Saccharomyces cerevisiae S288C: one gene and its partners. Changing the gene in region 1 together with any one later gene gives a genetic interaction. Each region holds a gene or a part of one and is shown on either strand. Other genes may lie near its edges.

Evidence for each region. Genes that interact genetically often act in the same process or in processes that back each other up.
Region 2: of SPT2 (region 1) and RNH1, a mutation in one rescues a mutant of the other (synthetic rescue), as found in Saccharomyces cerevisiae (3 studies listed by BioGRID, with this or other methods).
Region 3: mutations in SPT2 (region 1) and HOS2 together harm fitness more than expected from each alone (negative genetic interaction), as found in Saccharomyces cerevisiae (3 studies listed by BioGRID).

Annotation. Positions count from the first base shown.
Region 1 is NC_001137.3:498,251-503,042, forward strand, and holds SPT2 (Spt2p), read right to left. Parts: upstream 2,099-4,792; coding exon 1,097-2,098; downstream 1-1,096. Other genes in the region: RAD4 (Rad4p), read right to left, coding at 2,380-4,644. UniProt on the Saccharomyces cerevisiae protein: Histone chaperone that stabilizes pre-existing histone tetramers and regulates replication-independent histone exchange on chromatin.
Region 2 is NC_001145.3:737,799-742,919, reverse strand, and holds RNH1 (RNA-DNA hybrid ribonuclease), read right to left. Parts: upstream 2,655-5,121; coding exon 1,608-2,654; downstream 1-1,607. Other genes in the region: GTPase-activating protein RNA1, read left to right, coding at 185-1,408; TRI1 (Tri1p), read right to left, coding at 3,055-3,735; FUS2 (Fus2p), read right to left, coding at 3,961-5,121. UniProt on the Saccharomyces cerevisiae protein: Endonuclease that specifically degrades the RNA of RNA-DNA hybrids.
Region 3 is NC_001139.9:138,761-143,764, forward strand, and holds HOS2 (histone deacetylase HOS2), read right to left. Parts: upstream 2,967-5,004; coding exon 1,608-2,966; downstream 1-1,607. Other genes in the region: GCN1 (Gcn1p), read left to right, coding at 1-783; YGL194C-A (uncharacterized protein), read right to left, coding at 959-1,201; YGL193C (uncharacterized protein), read right to left, coding at 3,156-3,467; IME4 (mRNA (N6-adenosine)-methyltransferase), read left to right, coding at 3,486-5,004.

The DNA.
Region 1 (4,792 bases):
TATATGTTTATATTCATTGATCCTATTACATTATCAATCCTTGCGTTTCAGCTTCCTCTAACATCGATGACAGCTTCTCATAACTTATGTCATCATCTTAACACCGTATATGATAATATATTGATAATATAACTATTAGTTGATAGACGATAGTGGATTTTTATTCCAACAGTTTTGTTATAAGGTTGTTTCATATGTGTTTTATGAACGTTTAGGATGACGTATTGTCATACTGACGTATCTCATTTTGAGATACAACACAGTGGGCTAAGAATATACAACCGTTTTAGTCAATGTGTTGAAATATCATATTTTAATGCATTGCTCGAATCTCTTCCTTCGACTTACTTATATTGATTAAGGGTATGTATTTGATCCTTCCACCTGGAAAAACTGAGGACCTTACAGTGTTATTAAGTGTATGATGTATCACTGTCGTTGTAGTATTTCTCGGGAAGTTTTTCACTGGCAATTGGAGGTTGCTAGAGTTTCTTTTAACGCATACCCTAAACGCTTGTTTCTATTTTAATGACTACTTGAATCCTATCTAACTGGTGACACAATTTGTTTCATTTTTTAATATCTCACCTAATATATCCTAATAATATGAACATACCATAGCTCTTGTAAAGCTGGTCCATATTTATGTTTAGTTTCCGAATGCTTTTGTAAGGAAACGGGTTGTGGAAAAAAAAAAATACAACTACGTTGCCGCGAATCTTGTTGAAAAAGGTCTCAAATTAAGGCAAAAATGATACTGGAATTGTTAGTCTTGTATAATCGATCAACTGCAACAACCAAGTCTTTAAATTTTCAGTCCGTCTTGAAAGAATAGTGAAGGTTCATTTTTATTTTTACATAGTAAAGTTTATAGAATTATGGGCGATACACAATATAAATGTTCTAACCCAACTGATGCATATCATCACTGTACGTTTGAAAATCGGACAGGCAAACTGGATAAATGGAAAACGCAATTACAAAGGGTATGAAAATGAATGTAAGAAGTGAAACAGTGCCTCGAAACAGTTCCCAAACTCTCTACGACTTCATTAGTCATTTCACGTCCATATATCAAAACATATATCAATATTCCTTAGCGTATGCCCTTCTTACGGCGTCTCTTCTCCTCTTCATGCTTTTTTAACCAAGCTTCCTCACGTTTATCCTCTAACCTTGCCATTTTTCTTGCCATTTCCTCCTCTTCCAAGATTTCCATCTCATTTGCTTCCATATCATCATCCTCAAGCTCATCGTAATCGTATTCTGACCGCTTCTTGCCTCTATTGAACATAGCCCAAATTTCGTCACGATCATATCCGGGACCATTGCTGTGTTTCGATTTGCTGTGGTAACCTTCATCTTCATCGTCTTCTATAAAATCATCCATATCGTTATCTTCTTCATCATAGTCATCCTGGTATCTTGATTTCTGTTTTCTAGATTCTAACTTTTCTTTTAATCTCCTATTAGGTTGAGCAAATCCATTTGTGGGCAAGTTGAGCTTGACGGGCTTGGGTGAGTCTGATGATTTTATGCTATTGCCTCCAGAAGATACTCCACGCAATGTTGCGCCAGGGGATGCTTTCTTTTGTGGTCTTTTTGAACTTTTGAAACCTGGCTTGTTAAAATGTGGGCGTTCCTTAGTTACGGGTTCCGATGACTTAACTTTTGGGGGCTGTTTCTCATTATTTTCCGCTTGTTTCATTAGCTCTTCAAATGACATCTTTTTGATAGGTTCAGGTTTCTTCCTTACAACTGGCTTGAGTGGCGCATGACTTGCTCCAATAGACCTCTTAAACCTAATTCCAAGGCCACCTTCATCATCGTCATTCCTTTCTATTTTCTTTTTCTCAGATCCAGATGAGGTGCCACGTTTCCGTTTTACACCACTTTTTTTAGCCAAAGCACCATTCTTTAACAGTTCCTGCCGCCTCAGCTCCTTCAATCTTTTTACTGCAGGATCTTCGTCTCTTATGTAATTTTTGGGTAACAAGGAATACTCTTCGTCATTCTTCTTGGGTAATGGATCTTGCACTTGGGCTTTTGATGCAGTCGTTGATTTTCGTATTTGGGAAAGTTTGGAAAGAAAACTCATAACTAAAATATTTCACTTTGAATAGGACTCAAGTCCCTGTCCCTCTCATCAACTTTTATTTTCAAATTACACTAGTTATTTTATTGTATTCATATATTAATCTGTGGCACTTGTCCATGTGGGAATATCTTAGTCGAACAAGAAAAATAATCATGTTAAACGAAAAAGTTTGAAGCCAACTAAGTTCTCATTCATTACAAAGTATATACAAAATTCCTGAACATAGAATTTCTTTATTAAAAACATACTTTCCTAATTATTCAAACCGTTTCAGCCTCATTTCAGTCTGATTCCTCTGACATCTCTAGTTCTTTCATAAAATCCGAATAATCCTCCCCGACATCGTCGTCTGTAGCACTTTCCTCCGCTTTGTCAACAGAAACATAATCTAAACTATCTTCTGGCTCTGAAGGTTCACTATACGGCCTTGCTTCGTGGTTTGCTATACCTGGTAGGAACCCACCTCCCATAAAAGTCTCCGTATTATCGTGATTGTCCGCAATATTCTGTTCCTTCGTAACGTTAGGTTCTTCCTCGGCAATTTTACCATATGTGGAGTTCAGCTTGCTACGAATACGCAGTTTTAGCAGTAAAGTATTCCAACTCTCCAAAGCACCAAGCAAATGTTCCTTCCTATTATCATCCTCTTGAATAAACTCTATTCCATCAATAGCGGTTTCAATAGCTTCTCTGAGCCACTTTGCAACAACAATGCCACTTAAAACTGGCTTAACTGTACTGCCGCGTTCAAACTTAAAAGAAGTTACAGCAGGTGCAAATTCCACCCCCAAAAACCTAGCAGCTTTAATTGCCACAGGATTCTCAACCAAACAACAGTTACCAGGTATCATCGTTGGTGCAAAAACTTCGATGTTTCCAAATGTATTCTTGGTTATTTCACCGCTCGCACTGGCTAATGGAGGGATGTATAATTCTGTGTCTTCAAAGCTATATAATCTTTCATCTTCTTCTTCTGCTTCGCCCTTAGGCCTTCCAACTGTCCTCTTTATCACCTTTTTACACCTGCTACCAGTTTTTAAAATTCGGCCGTTCATGTACCATTGTCTAGCACTTTTCAAATCCGCAATATCTCTTTTTGCATAAACTTTCAAAACCTTCCCAACTTTTCCATGTACTTTTAAATATCCACACTCTTTACATCCTGGCTTTACAATTTGAGTCTGTTTGATATCTTGTTCTAAAACATAATATGGGTGGTTTTTCAAATCCTGCACCGAATCTGGTATGCCTTCACTTTCATCTCTCTGAAAAAAATATTGATCTTCGTAATCATCAATTTTGGTTCTCTTTCTATGGTGAAGTGCTGTTATCACTTTTCTGAACCATTTCTCACCAAAGTCATCTTTAGTAATTCTTCTTTTTCTTACTTTAGAGTTCATCCATTGGGCATATCTTCGAGTTACATCTCTACAGCCATACTTCCGATCGTAAGCAATCACGTACCTCAACATATTTCTTTCGCAGCACGCCACGCCTTTCGGTGCCAACTTGGAATGAAGTCTGACCTGTTCAATGGTTTTGAGATTTACTGGGTCAACAGTTATCCATTTCTTAGAGAATTTGTCCCACACTTCACACCAAAAAATCGGATACTTGACCATATCTTTGTACGCATTGTTTCCATTCAAAGAAGTGTCAATCTTCATATTGGTAAAATCTGGCGGTTGACATGACATGATAAGTCGTGCGTTAACATTACAAGCCCTGAGCATCGCAACGAAACCTTGCACTGAAATATCAGGATCTCCGTGACCTTTACTGACGGCCCTTAAAAAGTCAGATCTTTTCAACGTCTTGAATTTTCTTTTGTTATTGGCGCTCATTTCAATTTCTTTCCAGGTTCTCATATAAAGTCCCACATTATCATATTTTTTAGTGATCTTCCAGTGTTTTTGCCATAACTCCATGCATTTCTTCAACCCATCTAATAATTTCCTAGTACTCCTAAGTGGGAGTTCCTCATCTTTCTGAGGATGCAGTAGCTCAAACACTTTCTCAGGAACTAAGTTGCTCAGTTTTCTAGACAAGCGCTTGCTGTTAATCCATTCATTTCGTATAAATCCATGAACCATCAAGCAAACTAGATACAACATGTGGAAATATTTTCTCCTTTTCCGTTCTTCATTAGAACAAACGTTGCGGCTTGTCCTTCTAGCATCACTATTCCTTTTACTAGAGGGCTTAATTTCAACAGATATATCTTCTACACCGGCCACCTCATTTCCATCTGTCACGTCTTCAAATTCCTCCGAATCATAATCTTCTTCAGATGACTGGATTTCCTCTACACTATCATCCGTCGGTACCGTAACGACGCCATCATCTGAAGAATCTAAGTTTACAGTAACAACGCTTTCTCGTGGCAATTCATTCAACCCTGTTTTAAACTTCTTCTTGGCATCTGGTAGGGGCTGGTTCTTCCTTCTGACTCTTCTTCTTCTACTCAGGGGCGCTTTTTCTGCCTCTTTCTCGTTAAGAGCCTTCCTTATTAGTTCAAAATATTCCTTGGGCAGGTCTTCATTCATTTTAGCGGAAAAATAGTGTCGTTATGTCTCTGCTTGTCGTCCTGTTTGAACTGCATAAAATTTGCATATATTGTGCATGCATTAAAGGTACTTAACCGCATTTTTCCATTTTCCGCCGCACTATATAGATGGTAGAAAAGCAAGAGGA
Region 2 (5,121 bases), on another chromosome or scaffold:
TGTCAAATTCTACTTTTGATTTAAAGCTCTTAGTTTGGTCATGGAATGCATGTCACTATGCACGTTGTGGGACAATTAATGGAAAAAAATTTATTAGGAAGATATTGATCAAAGGCATAATATCACGGTAAAAGGTGAATATAGGCCATTTTAACAGGCTGTCTTTCGAAACAGATTTTTAGCTATGGCTACCTTGCACTTCGTTCCTCAGCACGAGGAAGAACAAGTTTACTCCATCTCTGGGAAGGCACTCAAGTTAACAACCAGTGACGATATCAAACCATACCTGGAAGAATTGGCAGCTTTGAAAACCTGTACCAAATTAGACCTTTCAGGGAATACAATCGGTACTGAAGCTTCGGAAGCATTAGCTAAATGCATCGCTGAAAATACACAGGTCAGGGAATCTTTGGTTGAAGTAAATTTTGCTGACTTATACACTTCGAGGTTGGTTGACGAAGTCGTTGATTCGTTGAAGTTTTTATTGCCTGTTCTGTTGAAATGTCCTCACTTGGAGATTGTGAACCTTTCTGATAATGCGTTTGGGCTAAGAACAATCGAGTTACTAGAAGATTACATTGCACATGCCGTGAATATCAAACATTTGATCTTAAGTAACAATGGTATGGGCCCTTTTGCTGGTGAAAGGATTGGTAAGGCCCTATTTCATCTCGCTCAAAATAAGAAAGCTGCTTCCAAACCATTTTTGGAAACTTTTATCTGTGGTAGAAATAGATTAGAGAATGGATCCGCAGTCTACTTAGCTCTGGGTTTGAAAAGCCACTCCGAAGGTTTGAAAGTCGTAAAGCTGTACCAAAATGGTATTAGGCCTAAAGGTGTCGCCACGCTAATTCATTACGGTTTACAGTACTTGAAAAACTTGGAAATCTTGGATCTTCAAGACAATACTTTCACGAAACATGCTTCTTTGATCCTTGCTAAGGCCTTGCCTACATGGAAGGATAGTTTATTTGAATTGAATTTGAACGACTGTCTTTTGAAAACTGCTGGTTCAGATGAAGTCTTTAAAGTATTCACCGAAGTTAAATTCCCCAATTTGCATGTCTTGAAATTCGAATATAATGAAATGGCTCAAGAAACCATTGAAGTATCCTTCTTACCGGCTATGGAAAAGGGAAATTTACCTGAATTGGAAAAGCTAGAAATAAATGGTAACAGATTAGATGAAGATTCTGATGCTTTAGATTTGCTCCAAAGCAAATTTGATGATTTAGAGGTTGACGATTTTGAAGAGGTCGATAGTGAAGATGAGGAAGGCGAGGACGAGGAAGACGAGGACGAGGATGAAAAACTCGAAGAAATTGAAACGGAAAGGCTTGAAAAGGAACTGCTAGAAGTACAAGTAGATGATCTTGCTGAACGTTTAGCTGAAACTGAAATCAAATAGCTATGAATAAAAGTAAAAATAAACACAATCAACTGTGGACGAGGTTCAGGCAAATATCATGGTGACACGCTTATAGATAGTTATCGGGTAAGTTAAAAAACCAAATAGCTGATGTATGTATATGTATGCAAAAGATATAAAATATATATTTCTATTACAGGTACAACAGGTCCAGTAAGAAGCCAAGCAAAAAACAGCATTATCGTCTAGATGCTCCTTTCTTCGCCAGAAAATCTGCCATTTCATTTCCTGGATCACCATCGTGTCCTTTTACCCATTCAATCTGAAATTTACCATTATTTTTGAAGCACTCTTTATTCAACTCATAGTACTTTTTAACTTTAACGAACCTCTGCACCAAAGGAACAATTAAATCAGAATTAGGTAGCCCTTCAAGTTTTTTATTATCATACGTCATATACCTGTCATTTAATAATTTGGTTACGTACTCTGAATCAGTTTTGATTTGATAATTTACTTTTTCCTTTTCATTAGTTAACTTTTCCCAGATTTTCTTCAAAGCTTCTGATACTGCTTCGATTTCAGCTCTATTATTAGTTTGAGCTCCCGATAATAAGGGTTCTGAAATATTTTCCTCTGGCGCTCCTTCAAAATATGCACCATAACCTGCCCTTGAAGATGACGTGCCGTTTCCAAAACTTGAACCATCACAGTAAACGTTCATAGACTTGTTGTACATGGTATTGCTAGAAAGCTTATACTTAGATTCAAAACTTTCTTTGGATATATTCATGAGCTTGTAATCATGCGCACTCATACCACTAATGAAGTTTTCCGCAGCTAATTGGTCTTCAAACTTCTTGAAGGTTATACCCCTTTTATGCTTGACATAGGCTTGACAGTCTTTCCAATTGTTAAAGATTTTACTCTCGATATTTGGAACATTACTCTTTACTGAATAAAAGGTATTTGTATTAGCAGAGCTTAAAGATGAACATGCTGATGACGATGTCAAGGAGGAATAATGAAGTGGCCGATTCCTTCGATGAACTCGCTTTTGAGTGGTATGAGGTTTACTAACTTGCCCTCCAGCATGCGTTGAACTTCCATAGTTTGATGTAGTATTTGGTTGACCTAGGAAAGATTTCGCTTGCTCGTAGCTGTTAAATTTTTTATAAATTGCACCACCATAACCATCAACTTGGTTTTTACATTCATTCCATGTATTATAGATCCCAGTTTCCCTGCCCTTTCTAACCGCGTAGAAGTTCCCTTGCCTTGCCATAATTAGGAATCGATAGTTCCTTCGATAAGCAAGGAGTGACACTTTAACTAATTTAAACAACGTGTATTATTGTGCTGCCATGAAATTAATATAGATCTTTACGACTATTGTACTTGCTTTTATTCATTGTTGATGCTGCTGTCATTTTTACATTTTTTTCTCCAGATAAAAAATAAAAAAAATATGCCATTAATTGATATCATCAGAATTTGACGAAATTCTCAAATCGAATTTGCCATAGTATTTCTTTAACGCCGTGAAGTGAAATTATTTATTACTAATGCTACATTAATTGTTAATTTACCTGTTTCAAGTACAATACAGTAGGTGCAGTGTGCTTTATACATGTCATCAAAGAGGAAAAAAAATCATTAAATTTGTATAAGTGCTACAGCCAAGATCAACCGCTTAAATTGGGAAGAGATTCGTTTTCCAATTTGATTTCTTTTTCGGGTGTTTGCTTTTGTTCCTCTTCATGTTTCACAATTTCATCGGGATTAAACAAGTGCTTAGTTAAGAGTTTATTCATTGAAAACATCGTCATTTTTTTGCCAAAAATTGGTTCCATCTTCTCATCGCATAGAATTTCTCTACGATCTTTTGGGTTTTGAAGATCATGCTCTTTGATATACTGCCATATCATCTTCACTACTTGCGTTCGTGGCAGTTCTTCAGATCCTAGAAACTTTTGTAAAGGAGCTGACAACAGAACTTTGCGGACGGAAATGCTGTTGGAATCAGGACTATCATTCTTTTTCTTCTTCCTTTTAGATTTACTTTCACTTTTACCTTTCCTTTTCCTCGTAGACCTCAAGGGTCTTTCTTCTTCCTTCTGTAACCTCAAAGATAGTTCTTGATCCCGACTAATGAGGTCGTTCTTCGGAATTAAGACTCTTGGGTTTTCTTGTATATCGCCGAACCTCTCAAGAATCAATTCATTAATTAACTTTCTTTGTGAATCCAAATTAACTGAATAGAGAATTTGCAGGGCTTTCCTCACCCTTTTTGGGCTTATTTCATCGGGGTTGGATACGCTCAAAATAGCGTCAACCATCGGAATATATTTATTGATGTCGGCCATAATGCTTTCACCCTCTATTTGCCTTCTATTTGCTCATTTCCTCTTAAACTTTTTCTTAAGGCTTTTCATGAATTAATTAAAATTTTCTTTCTCCTTCGCGCCAGCAAACAAATTATAGGTGACTGACTATAGTTCAACATATATACTGCTCCAGCGCAGTAGTACTACTTTAATAAAAAAGAAAACAAAACATTCTAAAAACTATAAGCTAAATATACTCTTTTGTTAAAGTTCGAAAAGTTTTCTGACAACACGGCTTCCACTAGGGTCTCCAGGGAAAGGCCAATCTTTTCTTACCATGCGTTTTGTCATATATCGTGATTTAGAATAACACTGCAAAATATCAAGATTTTTAATTTGGCCGGTAGCTATAGAGTCATTAAGAGACATATTTTCAAGATCTTTTTGCAGGTATTTTTTTCCACCAGCAATGATTTCCAAATATTTTAAGAAGACTTTGATATAGTTCAACAAGATACATTCGATAGTATCGTGGATCAAAGTAATAAAGACCGGTAATTCCCTTTTCATCTGGTTTTGCAGGTTTTGGAAATGCATTCCCAACAAGTCACGTTTAATATCTCGCACATTTGCTTTTTTTTCTTGTAAAAATAACATGTAATCTTTCTTCAAAGCTTGCAAATCTTTTAGTTTGCTTTTAACGGTAGTACAATGGGCTATGATTCTTTCAAGTGGGTTCATCACATCTGTTTCGAGCTCTGTGAGTTTCAAAATTGTTACTTGATTTTTTTGTTCATGCAGTTTATCTATGTACGAAGAACACATGGTCGATATTAAGTTATCGTGCGCAAAAAATGCACCAGAAGGGCGTTCGCACTCGATCACCTTTTTCCATGCATTTATTCTTCTTAAACTGATATCAATAATGCCTGACAGATCGTTTTTCAATAAATTCTTTTTTAATTCTAACAAACCTTTCATTACTTTCTTGAATTTACTGATGTGATCTGCCAATGTAAAAAATTCTGTTTCTTCATCCATTTTTAGATTTATCATCTCAGCTGAGGCAGTTGAAGTATTAGTGACAATTTCTAGCCCTGATACATCTGAGTAGTAACTCGATGATCCAGAAAGAAGAGAAGGAACTCTACTATTATCCAAATTACTCTCTTGTCGAGATGCATTACATATATTTTTATTTTGTTTGTCTGGGGGTTTTAAAAGGTGTGTAAACTGATCTTCATCATAACTTTGTATAATCTCTGATGGGGTTAAACTGAAATTATACATGGAATTACTCTTATACTCGGAGACCTCGGTTTCTAACTTATTGGAAAATAAAGAATATTTTCTTCTTGTCGGGCTTAGTTTCAAGCCCAATTCTGGCGAAAGAATATCTTCGTAACAGCTTTCCAAAGTTTCCAA
Region 3 (5,004 bases), on another chromosome or scaffold:
ATATTGCAAGACAAGGTTTTGAATGCAGATCTAGATGGAGAAACCGGTAAGTTTGCTATTCTGACTTTGAATTCCTTTTTGAAAGATGCACCAACACATATATTCAATACGGGCTTGATAGACGAATTTGTAAGTTACATTTTGAATGCAATCCGTTCCCCTGATGTTTACTTCGGAGAAAATGGTACCATTGCTGCTGGTAAATTACTTTTATTAGAAGGAGAAAAGAGGTCTCCATTTGTTAAAAAGGATGCTGCAGAACCATTCAAAATTGGCGATGAAAACATCAATCTGTTAATTAATGAGTTGAGCAAAGCTGTCTTACAACCAGCCAGTAATTCTACGGATGTAAGAAGGTTGGCCTTGGTGGTTATAAGAACACTAGCCAGATTCAAATTTGACGAGTGCATTAAGCAATACTTCGATGTAGTAGGACCATCTGTATTTTCTTGCTTGCGTGATCCTGTTATCCCAATTAAGCTCGCAGCAGAAAAAGCATATTTAGCTTTGTTCAAATTGGTTGAAGAAGATGACATGCATACTTTCAACGAGTGGTTTGCTAAAATTTCAGATCGCGGTAACAGCATCGAAACTGTCACAGGTACTACAATTCAATTACGGTCTGTTGGGGACTATACCAAGAGGGTTGGTAAAAGGTTAGCAAATGTCGAAAGAGAAAGGATTGCTGCCGGAGGAGACGCGGAAACAATGTTTAGTGACAGATTTGAAGATGAAAGAGAAATATGGGCTGTCGGAGGTGTTGAATTAACCACTGATATTTGAAGAAAATTCAATGTGGTAACCTCGTTACTTTTTGTATTTGATATATTATTCTCGTTATATAATACATACCACATAATGATATAAAAGACAAAGATATTTTGAAGTCTTCCGCTGTGCATAAGGGTTATTTATATATCTATTGCTCCCAGCATTGTAGCTAATAAGGGCTTGATAATTATTCGTACCCGGATTCATAATTGTCAACTAACTGCCAAACCCAGCGCTCTAATAGTGGCGAGACTTGCCACCACATCATATCGTTACGATCTGTATTGGCGATTCCTAAACACCAAATAACTGTCGACTTTAAATAGCGTCTCAGAAATAACTTATAAGAGAGGTTTATTATTAGAACTATCAATAAAATTAGAGCAATAATTTTAAACGGTTTGATACAAGTTATCTCTTTATTAGACATAATTGTCCAGATGTATTACATGAACTGAGTGACTTGCTCTAATGTTGTAGACACTGATGTCCGGTTTAATTAAGAAAGATTTTGGAAGTTTCACGATATCGATAATGCTGCGGGAGAAGCTTTCAAATTATAAGAAAAGGCTTTTTTTTGTTGTTTTCAGAGTAGTTTGGTGACTTGTCCGTTTCAGAAGTGTCTCGAATACGGAGTGCACCTTCCAAAAATGTTTCTGACGGCATCGAAGAGCCGAACTCTTATACAATACATGTCATTTTTAACAATGATGCAAATAACTTTTAAGGCCTTAACACTCTACATAATATGCTAAAAACATTAAAAAAAAAAAAAGGAAAATAAAAAAAAAAAAAAAAAAAAAAACGGGAGATTAACCGAATAGCAAACTCTTAAACTATGAAAAGGCAATCAATCCACTGTTTTCTTTTTCCATTTCTTCTAGCCTATTTGAACTGTCTGCTTCTGTTTCTTCATTCATTTCTTGAATGATTTTATCCTCTTCTTCTGTCAGGGCACTTATATCTTGTGTCGGTATGCATTCAGCATCCATTCTGACACTTGGTGCTCCTTGCAAGTATCTGATATTTTCTAGACATCGTATTCTAATGTCTTCCAGTAGTTTTTTACTGTTTTTGTTTTCGTATAAGTCATCTAACATAGGATAAAGTGAATAATCCGGCCCGAATGAGTCCCGGAATGGGATATCTTCGGGGATGTCTTCTGGTAGCAAGACATCATTTAAAATTCCTGTCTCGTAGGTCCAAAGCCGTGATACATTTCTAGGTGTATAACCTCCACCGCCCACTACTAGCATTGGTAGACCAAATGATTTGACAAATTTTACGCATTCTCCATGTGCCTTTATATTTAAATTGAAGCATCCTAAGCGATCATGACCTAAGGAATCCGCACCGCATTGTTGGACAATAAGTGTTGGTTTGAAAGTCATTATTAGAGGATCTACAATTGACTTGAAAAGGTTTATATATGAGTCGTCATCTATGCCATCTTCTAGGGGTACATTTAATGCGAAATGTTTTCCTTTGTCGCAACCAATTTCTGTCAGATCACCAGTTCCTGGGAAAAATTCGCCATTATATTTATGAAAAGACAACGTGAAGACCCTATCTGTGGTGTAAAATGCCTCCTGGACACCATCGCCGTGATGTAAGTCGATATCGATATAAAGGATTCTTGGGTGATATCGTAATAAGTTCAAAATAGAAAGCACAATATCATTTACATAGCAAAACCCAGATGGACTATTCTTTTTTGCATGATGAAGACCACCAGACCAATTTATCGCTATGTCCGATTGATTGTTGATTAGTTTCCTGGTGGCGTCAAGGCTCGCACCAGTGTATAGTGTTGTATAATCATATAAATTTTGAAAAATAGGACAGTCGTCTCCAATGTTAAAATTTTCAAGTGTGCCTCTGGGCAGTTTGTTTGCATTTTCTGGTGAAACCTTCGAGAGAAAATTCACGTAGTCTTCCGAGTGAAATTGTAGTAATTCGTCTCTGGTAGCGCTTCTTGTTTCATAAAGGTCCATAATCTTGTGCAATCCATAAGAGGAAACTAGGTGATCCGTTAGCATTAACCGAAACGGCTTCATTGGATGCTTAACACCATAATGGTAATGTGAAACTTTGGAGTTAAAATGATACGATACCCTGGGAGAATAAGCAGAATTAAACTCAAATAATGGTTCGTTCTCCTTTGTTTTCACATCATAACTAAATGTTCCAGACATGTTGCGTGTTGTTATTCACTTGATACCTGATTTTAACGTACTTGAGTAATCTGGCGTCTTTTCTATAACTGTACATTGGCGACACACCTAAAACTGATTAGAATCGTTTCAAGATGCTTTCAGTTCAACATTTAGTAACATAGTAGGAATATCACGTTTAACGATGCCCCAAAGAACATCGAGAATCCTCTATATAGAGTATAAACAGGGCATTCTACATTGGTATAGAGGTGCCTTAGGTATATAGTGGTACCGGTCACATAAATTGACGGGAATATGCGTCTTTAGGCGGCTTTTGGCGTACAGTATTGTTCTTTCTTTCGTGCTTGTGAAACTTGTTATAAACAAAGAAAGAGAAAGATCTCCCCGGCATTCTGGAAGATCGGTAACCGCTGGAGCTATAGGAAAGGGAGATGGATAACAGTAAAGAAAACGGACCATATAAGTTAGCATTGGGGGTTTTCGAAAAAAATAAGAATTGGCATTCAGACTTGAATTCATAAAAGTTGTAAGCAGGCTATGATTAACGATAAACTAGTACATTTTCTGATCCAGAATTATGATGACATCCTAAGAGCACCGCTTTCTGGACAGCTCAAAGATGTGTATTCACTGTACATCAGTGGCGGATACGATGATGAGATGCAGAAGTTGAGAAACGATAAAGACGAGGTCTTACAGTTTGAACAGTTTTGGAATGATCTTCAGGATATTATATTTGCAACGCCGCAGTCCATTCAATTTGACCAGAATCTATTAGTGGCAGATAGGCCAGAAAAAATTGTTTACCTGGACGTTTTTTCCTTGAAAATTCTCTATAACAAGTTCCATGCCTTCTACTATACATTAAAATCGTCCAGTTCTTCATGTGAAGAAAAAGTGTCGAGTTTAACAACAAAACCGGAAGCTGATTCGGAAAAAGACCAACTGCTGGGTAGACTGCTTGGAGTCCTGAACTGGGACGTTAACGTCAGCAACCAGGGGTTACCACGTGAACAACTGAGCAATCGCTTACAAAATTTATTGAGGGAAAAACCATCATCTTTTCAGCTTGCTAAAGAAAGAGCCAAATACACGACCGAGGTCATTGAATACATCCCGATATGTAGTGACTATTCGCATGCATCTCTATTGTCCACCTCGGTGTACATTGTCAATAACAAAATCGTTTCTTTACAATGGTCCAAAATATCCGCATGTCAGGAAAATCACCCAGGATTAATTGAGTGCATTCAATCAAAAATTCACTTTATCCCTAATATCAAACCACAAACTGATATTTCGTTAGGAGATTGTTCCTATTTGGATACCTGTCATAAATTAAATACGTGTCGATACATTCATTACCTGCAATATATTCCGTCATGCTTGCAAGAGCGAGCTGATCGTGAAACTGCGAGTGAAAATAAAAGAATACGGTCAAACGTTTCCATTCCATTTTATACTCTGGGCAATTGCTCCGCACATTGTATCAAAAAGGCTTTACCTGCACAGTGGATCCGTTGCGATGTGCGGAAATTTGATTTTAGGGTTCTTGGAAAGTTTTCGGTAGTTATTGCAGATCCTGCATGGAATATCCATATGAACCTACCATACGGTACTTGCAACGATATTGAACTATTAGGTTTGCCTTTGCACGAACTACAAGATGAAGGTATTATTTTTCTTTGGGTGACGGGTAGAGCTATAGAATTGGGTAAAGAGTCTTTGAATAACTGGGGTTACAACGTGATAAATGAAGTTTCATGGATAAAGACAAACCAACTGGGTAGAACAATTGTTACAGGTCGTACGGGTCATTGGTTAAATCATTCTAAGGAGCATTTATTGGTGGGCTTAAAGGGTAATCCAAAGTGGATCAACAAACATATTGACGTCGATTTGATCGTATCAATGACCAGAGAGACTAGTAGAAAGCCTGATGAACTGTATGGTATAGCAGAACGGTTGGCAGGCACCCATGCCAGAAAACTAGAGATATTCGGAAGGGATCACAATACGCGGCCTGGCTGGTTTACCATCGGAAACCAGTTGACAG